Linked DNA regions of Cricetulus griseus. The protein of the gene in region 1 purifies or fractionates together with the protein of each later gene. This does not show direct contact. Links are inferred from orthologs where the notes say so. Each region holds a gene or a part of one and is shown on either strand. Other genes may lie near its edges.

What was found.
Region 2: the proteins of Vcp (region 1) and Rpl13 purify together in Homo sapiens (affinity purification with mass spectrometry, with the first as the bait; 3 studies listed by BioGRID). This does not show direct contact. The link is inferred for Cricetulus griseus from reciprocal best matches to the Homo sapiens genes VCP and RPL13.
Region 3: the proteins of Vcp (region 1) and Svip purify together in Homo sapiens (affinity purification with western blotting; 3 studies listed by BioGRID and IntAct, with this or other methods). This does not show direct contact. The link is inferred for Cricetulus griseus from reciprocal best matches to the Homo sapiens genes VCP and SVIP.

The regions. Positions count from the first base shown.
Region 1 is NC_048595.1:100,551,517-100,555,164, forward strand, and holds part of Vcp (transitional endoplasmic reticulum ATPase), read left to right. Parts: intron 1-458; coding exon 459-571; intron 572-1,056; coding exon 1,057-1,221; intron 1,222-1,307; coding exon 1,308-1,430; intron 1,431-1,873; coding exon 1,874-2,086; intron 2,087-2,250; coding exon 2,251-2,559; intron 2,560-2,787; coding exon 2,788-2,943; intron 2,944-3,648. UniProt on the Homo sapiens protein: Necessary for the fragmentation of Golgi stacks during mitosis and for their reassembly after mitosis. Involved in the formation of the transitional endoplasmic reticulum (tER).
Region 2 is NC_048596.1:199,781,868-199,785,615, reverse strand, and holds Rpl13 (60S ribosomal protein L13), read right to left. Parts: upstream 2,435-3,748; 5' UTR 2,428-2,434; coding exon 2,324-2,427; intron 2,220-2,323; coding exon 2,078-2,219; intron 2,030-2,077; exon of another isoform or gene 1,943-2,029; intron 1,888-1,942; coding exon 1,714-1,887; intron 1,210-1,713; coding exon 1,153-1,209; intron 334-1,152; coding exon 175-333; 3' UTR 136-174; downstream 1-135. UniProt on the Homo sapiens protein: Component of the ribosome, a large ribonucleoprotein complex responsible for the synthesis of proteins in the cell.
Region 3 is NC_048596.1:148,858,382-148,862,129, reverse strand, and holds the start of Svip (small VCP/p97-interacting protein), read left to right. Parts: upstream 1-1,157; coding exon 1,158-1,211; intron 1,212-3,129; coding exon 3,130-3,180; intron 3,181-3,459; exon of another isoform or gene 3,460-3,615; coding exon 3,616-3,726; intron 3,727-3,748. UniProt on the Homo sapiens protein: Negative regulator of the ER-associated degradation pathway (ERAD) of misfolded proteins. It competes with AMFR/gp78 for binding VCP/p97, and inhibits AMFR/gp78-VCP/p97 complex formation that is required for degradation of ERAD substrates.

The DNA.
Region 1 (3,648 bases):
ACTCATTCTTATACTCCACGGTATATTACAGTTCTGCTGGCTTGATTTCTTTATCTCACCTGTCTTTCATCTACATTGTTTTTTTTCTATTCTGTATTCCCTCTAGAGCAGTGGTTCTCAACCTTTCTAATGCTGCCACCCTTTAATACAGTTCCTCATGTTGTGGTGAGCTCCCTGATCATAAAATTACGTTGTTGCTACTTTCATAACTAATTTTGCCACTGTTACGAATCATAATGTAAATATCTGATATGGGAAGGGCCCTTTGACCCCAAAGGGGTTGTGACCCACAGGTTGAGAACCATTGCTCTAGAGTAACTACCCGTCTTGGTTTCCCTAAACCTGAAGAATTTCCAGGTTGTGAGGCATTAATGTTAACTCTAAATAAGAGAGTTTTGGAGTGACTTCACTGTGGACCAGAAATTGTTCCTATTTTACATTCCTGCATTTTCCCACAGGTCGCTTTGACAGAGAGGTAGATATTGGAATCCCTGATGCTACAGGACGCTTGGAAATTCTTCAGATCCATACCAAGAACATGAAACTGGCAGATGATGTGGACTTGGAACAGGTGGAGTGGTGATGATGGCTGGCCAAAACCTTGGGTAGCTCTGTTTTTAGGAAGTTGCAAGGGACTACTAACATAGTCTAAGATAAGAGTTCATATCAGTAATCCCAGAATTTGGGGAGGGTGAGGCAGAGGCAGGAGGATCTTGAGTTTGAGGTCAGTGTGGGCTACCCAGCAAGAGTCTATCTTTTCATTTTTTTTTTTTTTTAGAGCTGCATGGAGCTTATTTTGATTTCAGGGTAGAAAATGTGTTTCTTAATTGTTGCTCTGTTAAGAGTAATTCATACATTGTTGAACAGCTTTATTTCTAGCTCCCAAATCCAGGCTTAAGTATTTAATACTTGCCACTAAAAGGTCTGCTGTAGTATATATCTCTTTAAGGAAATAAAAGGAATCAGAGATAGGAATCGGGGTGGACTCAGGATTCTGTTTCTGACTTCTTAAGGAAGTGGTTTCTTGAGGATAGTCAGTAGATCTTTTCTCTGCAGGTAGCCAATGAGACTCATGGCCATGTAGGTGCTGATTTGGCAGCCCTGTGTTCAGAGGCTGCTCTGCAGGCCATCCGGAAAAAAATGGACCTTATTGATCTTGAGGATGAGACCATTGATGCAGAGGTCATGAATTCCTTGGCAGTTACTATGGATGATTTCCGGGTAAGGACTATATCCACAAATAGTTATTTTGTTGTATGCACCCCCCACCCTCCATCTCATTCCCCTTTTTCAAACACCCTTTTTAGTGGGCCTTGAGTCAAAGCAACCCATCAGCACTTCGGGAAACTGTGGTAGAGGTGCCACAAGTAACCTGGGAAGACATTGGAGGCTTGGAAGATGTCAAACGGGAGCTTCAGGAACTGGTTCAGGTAGGCCAATTTGCTCTAGGGTGGTGGGTCATTGCCTCAATGTATAGTAATTGGCCGTTTAGGTCTCAGACTCAAATCTACTTAGAATTGTGACTATAATTCAGAAGCCTGCTCTTACTGAGTTTTAGGTAGTAAGGAGCCTATTTAAAAACTAGCACCATAGACCATAGGATGTGCCACAAAGTAGATGATATGCTTCTGATTTTTTTAAAAGATTTTATTTATTTATTATGTTTGCCTGCATGCCAGCAGAGGGCACCAGATATCATTCAAGGTGGTTGTGAGCCACCAGATAGTTGCTGAGAATTGAACTCAGGACCTCTGGAAGAACAGTCAATGCTCTTAACTGCTGAGCCACCTCTCCAGCCCTATGCTTCTGATTAATAACGATTTTATTTAAAATATTGAGAGGTTGCCCTTAAATCATCTTTGCTTTCTTCTAGTATCCTGTGGAGCATCCAGACAAATTCCTCAAATTTGGAATGACCCCTTCCAAAGGTGTTCTCTTCTATGGACCTCCTGGTTGTGGGAAGACCTTGCTGGCCAAAGCCATTGCTAATGAATGCCAGGCTAACTTCATCTCTATCAAGGGTCCTGAGCTGCTCACCATGTGGTTTGGGGAATCTGAGGCCAATGTCAGGGAAATTTTTGACAAGGTGAGTTTTCAGAGGCTGGCTGTTCATATGTTTGGGGGCAAGGTAAGATAGGAGGCTATTTCTTCATAGTCAAAACTATTTTATTACTGGCAGCTCAGTGATTGCTTTCTTCTGAAGTTTGAGAGATTAATTAATATTTGAGTTGATCTCTTTCTTTCTCCCAGGCACGGCAAGCTGCCCCCTGTGTACTATTCTTTGATGAGTTAGATTCAATTGCCAAGGCTCGTGGTGGTAATATTGGAGATGGTGGTGGAGCTGCTGACCGAGTCATCAATCAGATCCTGACAGAAATGGATGGCATGTCCACAAAAAAGAATGTGTTTATCATTGGAGCTACCAACCGGCCTGACATCATTGATCCTGCTATCCTAAGACCTGGCCGTCTTGATCAGCTCATCTATATCCCACTTCCTGATGAGAAGTCCCGTGTTGCCATCCTGAAGGCTAACCTGCGCAAGTCTCCAGTTGCCAAGGCATGTGCAAAGTTGTCAGCCATGAAGCCTTTTTTTCTATCCTGGATAGGATGCCATTGGGGATTTGTAGGTTTTCTAAAGGCAATATGAGAGATTTGTGAATATTAGGATAATTTAAGAGATACAGAATAAAATGGGGTGGCAGAGCCAAGAGTAGCTCAAAGATCTATGTGTCCCATGGGAGGCAGTTAACGATGCTAAACTAAGTAGCTTTTTTGCTTCCTTTAGGATGTGGATTTGGAGTTCCTGGCTAAGATGACAAATGGCTTTTCTGGAGCTGATCTGACAGAGATTTGCCAACGTGCTTGTAAACTGGCCATTCGTGAATCTATTGAGAGTGAGATTAGGCGAGAACGAGAGAGGCAGACAAATCCATCAGCTATGGTGAGTCAGTATCTTTGTTCAAATGTGCCATTCTAGGGACCATCCTCCATGACCCAGAGTTGAGAGTAGAAGGTATTAGGAGGGTCCCTTTACTGAGATGTTAAGCAGGGAATCCTAGAAAATGAATAAACAGCTAAGCTGGGTGTGGTGCAGGCATATTCCAGCTCTCGGTGAATGCAGCAAGATGAGAAATAAAGGGCCCTACATGAGACTTTTAGAGATAAAGGGTTGGGTTGGGTAAGCTTGATGCCTTGAGGGAAATGAAAGTATGATTGTGCAACAGAACAGAACAGGGTTTTTTATTTATTTAATTTTATTTTTATATGCACTGGTGTTTTGCCTGCATGTATATGTGTGTGAGGGTGTCTGATTCCCTGGAACTGGAGGTATGGACAGTTGTGATCTGTCATATGGGTGCTGGAATTGAGCCTGGGTCCTCTGGAAGAGCAGCCAGTTCTCTTAACTGCTGAGGCATCTCTCGAACCCTCTGGAAAAGGATTTTTAAACTGAAGTCTGGACTTCAGCATCCTGGTGGGGAAGGGAATTCTTGTACTCTCAAAATAGAAAAATTAAGTATAAGAATGTAAAAACTATGAAATTTACAATTCTGTCTCTACTGTAGTTCCACTGTTTGGAGGTTTGTGAATGAATAAGAAATGAGCAAGTTGCTTTCTTTACCCTTTGGAGAGGTCCTTTGTGTCAATA
Region 2 (3,748 bases), on another chromosome or scaffold:
AAATGGCTTAGTGATTAAGAACATTGGCTGCTCTTCCAGAGGACACAGGATCAATTAGCTGCCTAACTCCAGTTCCAGTGGACCCAGCACTCTCACACAGGCATATACATAGACAAAGCACAACATCCAGCTTTTGCTTTATGGAAAGTTTTATTGCAGTACTCCAATAGCACATCACTTTTTCTTTTCAACATCTTGCTCTGCAGCTTCCTTTGCCCTTTTTGCTCGGATGCCAAAGAGCCGGGCATTGGCCCGGGCCATACGAAGACTGGCAAAAGCCTTGAAGTTCTTCTCTTCTTCTGTGATAACTCTGGCTTTCTCCTTTTTGTAGACCTGGAAAAAGACGTAAGTCAAGGTGGTTTGAATTGCAACCTGTCCACAGAACTGTAACTCTGTCTCAACTCTCAGGAGTGACAGAGACAGGATTCTTCCAGGATCATGTAAGTTACCACAGTACTTGGAAGTTTGAGGTAGGAGGATCCTGGGTAGACTACAAAGCAAGCTTTGGCTTACACACAGAGACCCCGTTCAGAAAATAACTAGTCATGACTTCAGTTAAGAACATGTGTTGGCTAATTTTACGAGTCTCAATGGGAAAATGCATCCAGCAAAAAGACAGGGCAGTAAAGCTGGGCCATAGTGGCACACACCTTTAATCCCAGCACTAAGGAAGCAGAACTTTCTGGTCTACACAGGGAATATGACTGTGAAATGGTAGTGCTGGATTCTACAGCAGCACCAGTCTCCACGGCCTCTGTATCAGCTCTTACCTACAATGATGGACCTCTTTCTTTCTTCAATGAAGGACCATAATGTGAAAGTGTAAACCAAACTTGGTTTCGACCATGGCATTTTATCACAGCAACAGACACATGCCACGCCCCCTTCAGGCTGGGAAAAAAGTCCCCCACCCCAACTAGCAAAACAATGCCACCCGTTAAAAAGATGAAGGTTAGCCAGGTGGCGGCACACACCTCTAACCCTGGCACTCAGGAGGCAAGTAAATCTCAGAGTTCAAGGCCAGCATGGCCTACAGCACAGGATGGCTAGGGATAGAAACCCCCCCCCCAAAACAAAATCTAAAAGATTTAAATCTACATGTCCATCACAACACTTTCCTCCTGCCAATCTTAACTTCAAGCAGTAACTTACATTCCGTATGCGCATCACAGGTCCTGTTAGCTGGGTGGCCAGTTTCAGTTCTTCAGCCTGTTTAAGAAGAAAAGTTGAGTCCAGCTCCCTTTTTGTCTTTCACACTCATCGCCCTGGGTGCAGTTTGTTCCTAATGAGCAGGCTGCCTAGGCCTGTAGCCCTCAGCATTTCATGGCCCCCATGTGCTGGCTTACTAGGCATAGGGGAGGGTCCTGTTCGATTGAGGGGACAGAACAAATCCACCTTCTTCTAATCCCACTCTGAGGAAGCCCATAACGACAGATACCCCTGATGCTTGTTAAATGTCTATGTTCTTTGCATTCCTGAATACTAAAATACTAGACGTCCAAAAATGTTCCTAGATAACCTTGTAGGGGGCAAACCATCAAATAGCAAGTCAGGCCCCAAGCCAATAACCTTCCATTAGGACAGAAAACCACAGGGATTTCAGTGGCCCACACATGACTTGTACCGCCGCAGTGTCACCTCAGCAGAGCGGGACCCAGGCAGACTCATCTACACTGAACCAAACCCAACACCACGAAGACCCGCTGTACTCACAGAACTGTCTCCCTTCTTGGGAGCAGAAGGCTTCCTGGGGAAAAGTATGAGCTTGGAGCGGTACTCCTTCAGGCGCTGCACATTGGCCTGTAGTGATTCAGTGGATTTGTTTCGTCTCCTTGGGTCCACAGAGATGCCGATGGTTCGAGCCACTTTCTTATGGATACCAGCCACCTAGCCAGAAACAGTAATGGATGAAACACCTCCAAGTCCCTCCCCTGCTGCCCCCGCCGAGAAAGCTCGGCGTTATCAGATGGAAAAGGGTTCAAAAGTACTTTCATCAAGACAGTACAGCGATTCCGGAGAATTGTCATCATTCCACCGAGACCAAGAGTACTCAGCGCAGAGACCCTGCCGAACTCACCCTGAGTTCTTCCAGGCTGAAGCCCCTGCCAGCTCGGACCTTGGTGTGGTATCTCACTGTAGGGCACCTCACTATCGGCCTGATGGGACCGGACGCGGGGCGAGGGGCGATGCGGCGCGCTTTCGCCTGCCGGGCCTTGCGTCTGCGGTAAAAACACAACAGTCACCTCCGGCCCACACGCGTCCATTCCGGCACCCCGCCCCGGGCACCCCGCCCCGGGCACCCCGCCGGGCCCGCGCGCCACACCTGCGGATCTTGCGTGCCGGCTGGTTGAACCAAGTGTCCACTCGCCGCTGCCAATCCTTGTGGAAGTGGGGCTTCAGGATCATGCCATTCCGGCTGGGCGCCATGGCTGCCTAAGGCCGTGAGGGAGAGGAGGGCGGCGGGTGAAGGCCAGAGTCCCGAGCTCCCGCCCCAAGTCCTCCCGCCCTGCCCTGGCTCCGGCCCCATGCCGTCGGCGCCTGGGCTCCTCCATAGTTGCGCAGGCTGCCTCTCCTCGCCGATGGCGGCGGATGGAGCGCGATGGAGCCCGATGCAACACGATGGTGGCGGCTGACGGTAGGGACTCACCTCCGGTACAGGAGAACGGCCGAGCGGAAAAGACCGAGCGCCGCAAAGCACCCTGGGGTTGTAGACAGTCCGGCCAATCCAAAACACCCGAGCCCTTTAGCCAATCAAAACAGGGAAAAGAGGAAATGGCGTCATACGAACCCGTCCACCGGCGGACCATCGCCTCTCTAGCCGTAAGACTCGTTTCTCGCTGGTTCCCAGCCTGGCACGCGACAAGGTGACTATGTCTTTGTGGGGGCTGCTGAGTCGGAGGAGCACAGATCGGAAAACTCAAAAGACTTGCGAGTTAAAGTCCTAAAAATCCTTCTCCTTCCCCGGTTCAGTGTTTTTTTTTTTCCCCCACCCACTCAGGAACATTGTGTTTTTTTTTTCCTTCGAGACAAGAGTTTCTCTGTGTAGCTCTGGTTGTTCTGGAACTCATCCTGTAGCCCAGGCTGGTCTCGAATTCACAGAGATCCTCCTGCCTCTGACTCCCGAGTGCTGGGATTAAAGGCGTGCGACACCACCGCCCAGCTCTTCATTCTTTTAAGAGCTGTGGTCTCTCTGTGTTGCCCACACTTGCCTAGAACTCAGGCTTCTCTTCCTCGGAGCTGAAATTACAGGCACGCACCACCATCCCCGACTTTTTTTTGTTGATTTTCTAGTTTATTTATGTAAGTCCGTGACTCATGTCTGCACCATGTGCATGCAATGATCATGGAGGCCGGTAGAGTGCATCGGATTCCCTGGGGCTGGAGTTATTGACAGTTGTGAACTGCTGGGAATTGAACTTCTGGAAGAGCAAGCAGCCAGTGCTTCAAACTACTGAGCCATCTCTCCAGCCCCAAACTCCCCATTTATTTCGATAAATCCTTAAGTCCCAGACTTAACTCCTCAGGATTGGGTGTGGCCAAATGCATATATTGAATTCTTACCCACAATGGCAGCATCAACAACAAACCATTAAGCAGCCAAGGCATAATCTGTCCTACATCTGTAAGACAATAACCCTGTTTTTCTTTTTCACTCCCCACCCTAATTACCAGGTTTCATTCTGATGAAAATTCCATTGTAAGAACTGTAGAAATGGCTCGGCATTTAAGAGATCTATAATTTTTTTTT
Region 3 (3,748 bases), on another chromosome or scaffold:
TACCTGCCAACTGCTCCATCTAAAAGAAGGGAGGCATGAGCTGGGCTCGCGGGCAAATAGCTGATTTGGGAAATACAGGCTGTCAGAATAACCGCAAAGCCTTGGTGTGGGGAGGCATGCTCTGCACATGAATGTCAGTTTGGGCCCTAGCGTTCCTAAATCTAATTTTAGCCAGATGCCAGGGGAGTCTCACGTTTATGAAAAGCTGAGCTGCACTTCACTGAAGTGTTTCTGGGTGGACTTTATCGTGTCCCATGAGGAAAATGTGGTCGCGATTCACTCTGAGTTGGGATTAAGTGGCGGTTTTCTCCTCCTGCTGGCTCAGCGCCGACAGCACTGACCCCGCTGGGAGGCAGACAAGGCAGCTGACCGCGCACTAAAACCCAGGTTCCAGGGCCTCAGAGGCCAGAATTCCTACAATCCCAACGGTCTTTTCCACAGGCACCTGCCCACACCTAAGTACGCATGTGCAGAGCTCCTGGGCTCTGCACAGACCTGGTCCCTACGTAGCCTCAGAGGGTGAGAAATCAGCTCCGCCTCGAGGGTGGAGCCTTGAGAGCCTAGGGGTGTGCTGATGAGTTTTCATTTGGAGGGAGTGACTGACAGTGAAGTGGGTGAGGCGGAGCGATGGATCAGGTGGAGCATACCGGAATGGGCGGGGCCTAACGATGGCGACCATACTGGGGCGGGGCTTGCCGCAGATGGGTGGGGCTCTGCCATAGTTAGGCTTCAGGGGCCAGAGAGAAGACCAAGGGTTGAGTTGTTGTTAGGCCTTATTGGGTGGGACTTGCGACGGAGGCAGGGCTTGATGCTGGACCGGATGAATGGAGACTGCAGCCGGGTCAGGTGTAGCAGGTTCGCACTGGAGGCGGGGCTTGCGGTAAGCCTAGATGGGCGGGGCTTGTTGCTATGTGGGGTGGGGCGGGGTTTGCCATAGGCGGGACAGGGGTGTGGCTTGTAGTTGGGCGGCGCTTTTGGGGTGCTTGCCTCAGTGTGGATCTTGCCCCTCAGGTCGGGGAGGGTCTTGCTGTGGGGCAGGTCTTGCCTCAGGGCGGGGCTTTGCCTCGGGTCAGGTGTGGGCGGAACTTGTCGATGGACGGGGTTTGCTGCAGCCTGGGGTGAAGATCCCGATCCAGGCCTGGGGTGCCAGAGTCCCCATGGGGCTGTGCTTACCATGTCCTGCGGAGTCCGCCCCGCCGTCCCCGAGCCCGGTGAGTAGCCAACCTCGCGCTACTCCAACTCGGTGGTGCATCTAGGTGGAAGGTGCACCTTACTGGCCGTTGGACACTCCACGAGGCTGTCCTCCGGACCCTCCTCGGACCTAGCAGGTGGGGGCTGTCCTGTCCCTAGGGGGTTGCTCTACACACGGGCATCTTCTCCTGTCAGTACCAGCTGTACAGCGAAGGCCCTGGACGCGCCGCTCCCTGTGCCAAATAGTGGATATTTTATTAACCTGCTGCTTCCTTTTGCTTGGTTTGTAACAGCTGGGGACCTGCCCAGCTTTAAATTGCACATAAACAAGTCATGCCTTTTAGATTAGAGGTTTCCAGTAGTGCTGTGTTTGGGATGTATGTATGTGAAAACAGTCATTATTTATTTGAAAGTCGAATATAAGCAAGCCCTTTGCTCTAACAGTATGTTTGTATTAATACTTTTACCTGTATTTGGTAACATAACGATCTAATTTTTCTCTCTGCATCGGTTCTTGGTGTAGCTAAAAATTAGTTGAAGCAATGAGAGATTTAGGGAAGTATATTAGTCCGTTAGCTACTCGGTTATATATAGTAAAGTGACTGTTTAGTGGATGTTGGAAAGTTTAGCCTTCCTTTGTGGCTCCTGTTGATTTTAGATACTGTTGAAATTGGGTTTAGCGCCGGGCGTTGGTGGCGCACGTCTTTAATTCCAGCACTCGGGAGGCAGAGGCAGGTGGATCTCTGATTTCGAGGCCAGCCTGGTCTACAGAGCGAGTGCCAGGATAGGCTCCAAAGCTACACAGAGAAACCCTGTCTCGAAAAAACAAAACAAAACAACAACAACAACAACAAAAAATTGTGTTTTAGCTCCTGAGAAAAATTTCCTGTCAGCATTTGTTATGCCATCTGTCCCCACTGCCATCCTCTTCCCTTAACCACAGGGCTCACTGGTGTACTTCACTTAGCACCTAAGATTTCCCTGAGCTCATAAATAAGCTGTAGGATCAGCAACCTCCCTCCTATTCCTTACCCATCAGGATCATTGTATCTCTTCCTGAGTTGTTACTTCCTTCAGACACACAGATGTATATTTGCTTACTGAACTCAAGTCTGTTTGGGTGTCTGTATTTCATGGCTGTGTTCTTAGTGCCTAGAAAAATTGGTGACAATCATTGTGATGGATAGATGTGTGTACTTGGTGTGGAGAAAAAAATGGTTAAAATCACACACCAAGATAATGCTACTTGTTGTCTGAATGTATTTAAAGACTTTATAATTAATAAGGAAAGGGCATAGAAAAAATACCATGGTGTTTCCAGAGTTGAGACAAGTGCCCCCCCCCCCAGTTTCTTTTCTTTATCTCCCCGATCCAACACAGTGAGATCAGCCCACTGGTTCTAAATGTTTTCCCAAACTCCAACCTGCTTCATTCCCATTTTAAACTAACTTCCAAATTACCCTCATGGTTTAAACTTCATTTTAAAAACATTTAATCCCCAATGTAAGTCCATTTTTTTTAAGAAGTAAATATCCTGCAGGCCAACTTATATTGATTTCTACATGTGCTAATTGGTATATTGGTCTAGAGAATGAAATTCAGGAAGTTAAATATTTAATAAATATTGTAATATTGGTAGAATTCAGGATTATTTTGTTTTATTTTGTTTGAGTGAAGTTAAATTCTTGCCATGTTGCTCAGGCTAGTCTTGATTGGGCCTCAGCCTCACATAACTAGAATCTGAAACTATAGCTCCAGCACACCTTAGTGGACTCTTACAGTGACTTTCTTTGTGAGGCTTTTGCACCCATACTAAGATTTTACAAACTGTTTCAATTTGCACATAATTATTTATTTTTGTTGCCTCTAAAGTAAAGGTGTGTAAGGGGGTCTATGATGCTTGATTTTTCTCTTGAAACATGTTATGTATTTTCTTAGGAAGAGAAAAGAGCAAAGCTGGCAGAGGCAGCAGAAAGAAGACAGAAAGAGGTGAGAGCACAATAGTTTGCCTGTTCAATAAGTATTTTATTTCACTTTCTATTTTACTTTCTGTCGTGTTCCTTTGCTGTAAAGTACATGATGACATACATAGTTTTATACTCAAAGATAACCATTCTCAAAGTGATTTCCAAGTATCCATGAACTGCATGCATTTACAACATTTACTGTGAAAACAGCCCCAGATGACTTTGGCATTTAAGCCTGTCCTGTGACAGCATTTTTCCTCAGGATAAACTCACCATGCTGATAAGGAGGATGTGGTTGCAAAATGACTGTTTTATGCAAGGCTTTATGGCATACTGCCCTGTTATGCAAACCAACTTCCCACCCCTAAATGAAAAGCTAAAAAGCAAAACAAGCACCTTTGGACACCAGATACTTTTGCTTTTTCTCTGTAATCTCCCTTGGTTGAATTTCTTAAAGGCTGCATCTCGGGGGATTTTGGATATTCACTCGGTGGAGGCAAAGAGGAAGAAGAAAGAACAGTTAGAAAAGCAGATGGAAACATCAGGGCCACCAGCAGGTGGACTTAGGGTGAGTATCATATGGCAGTTCA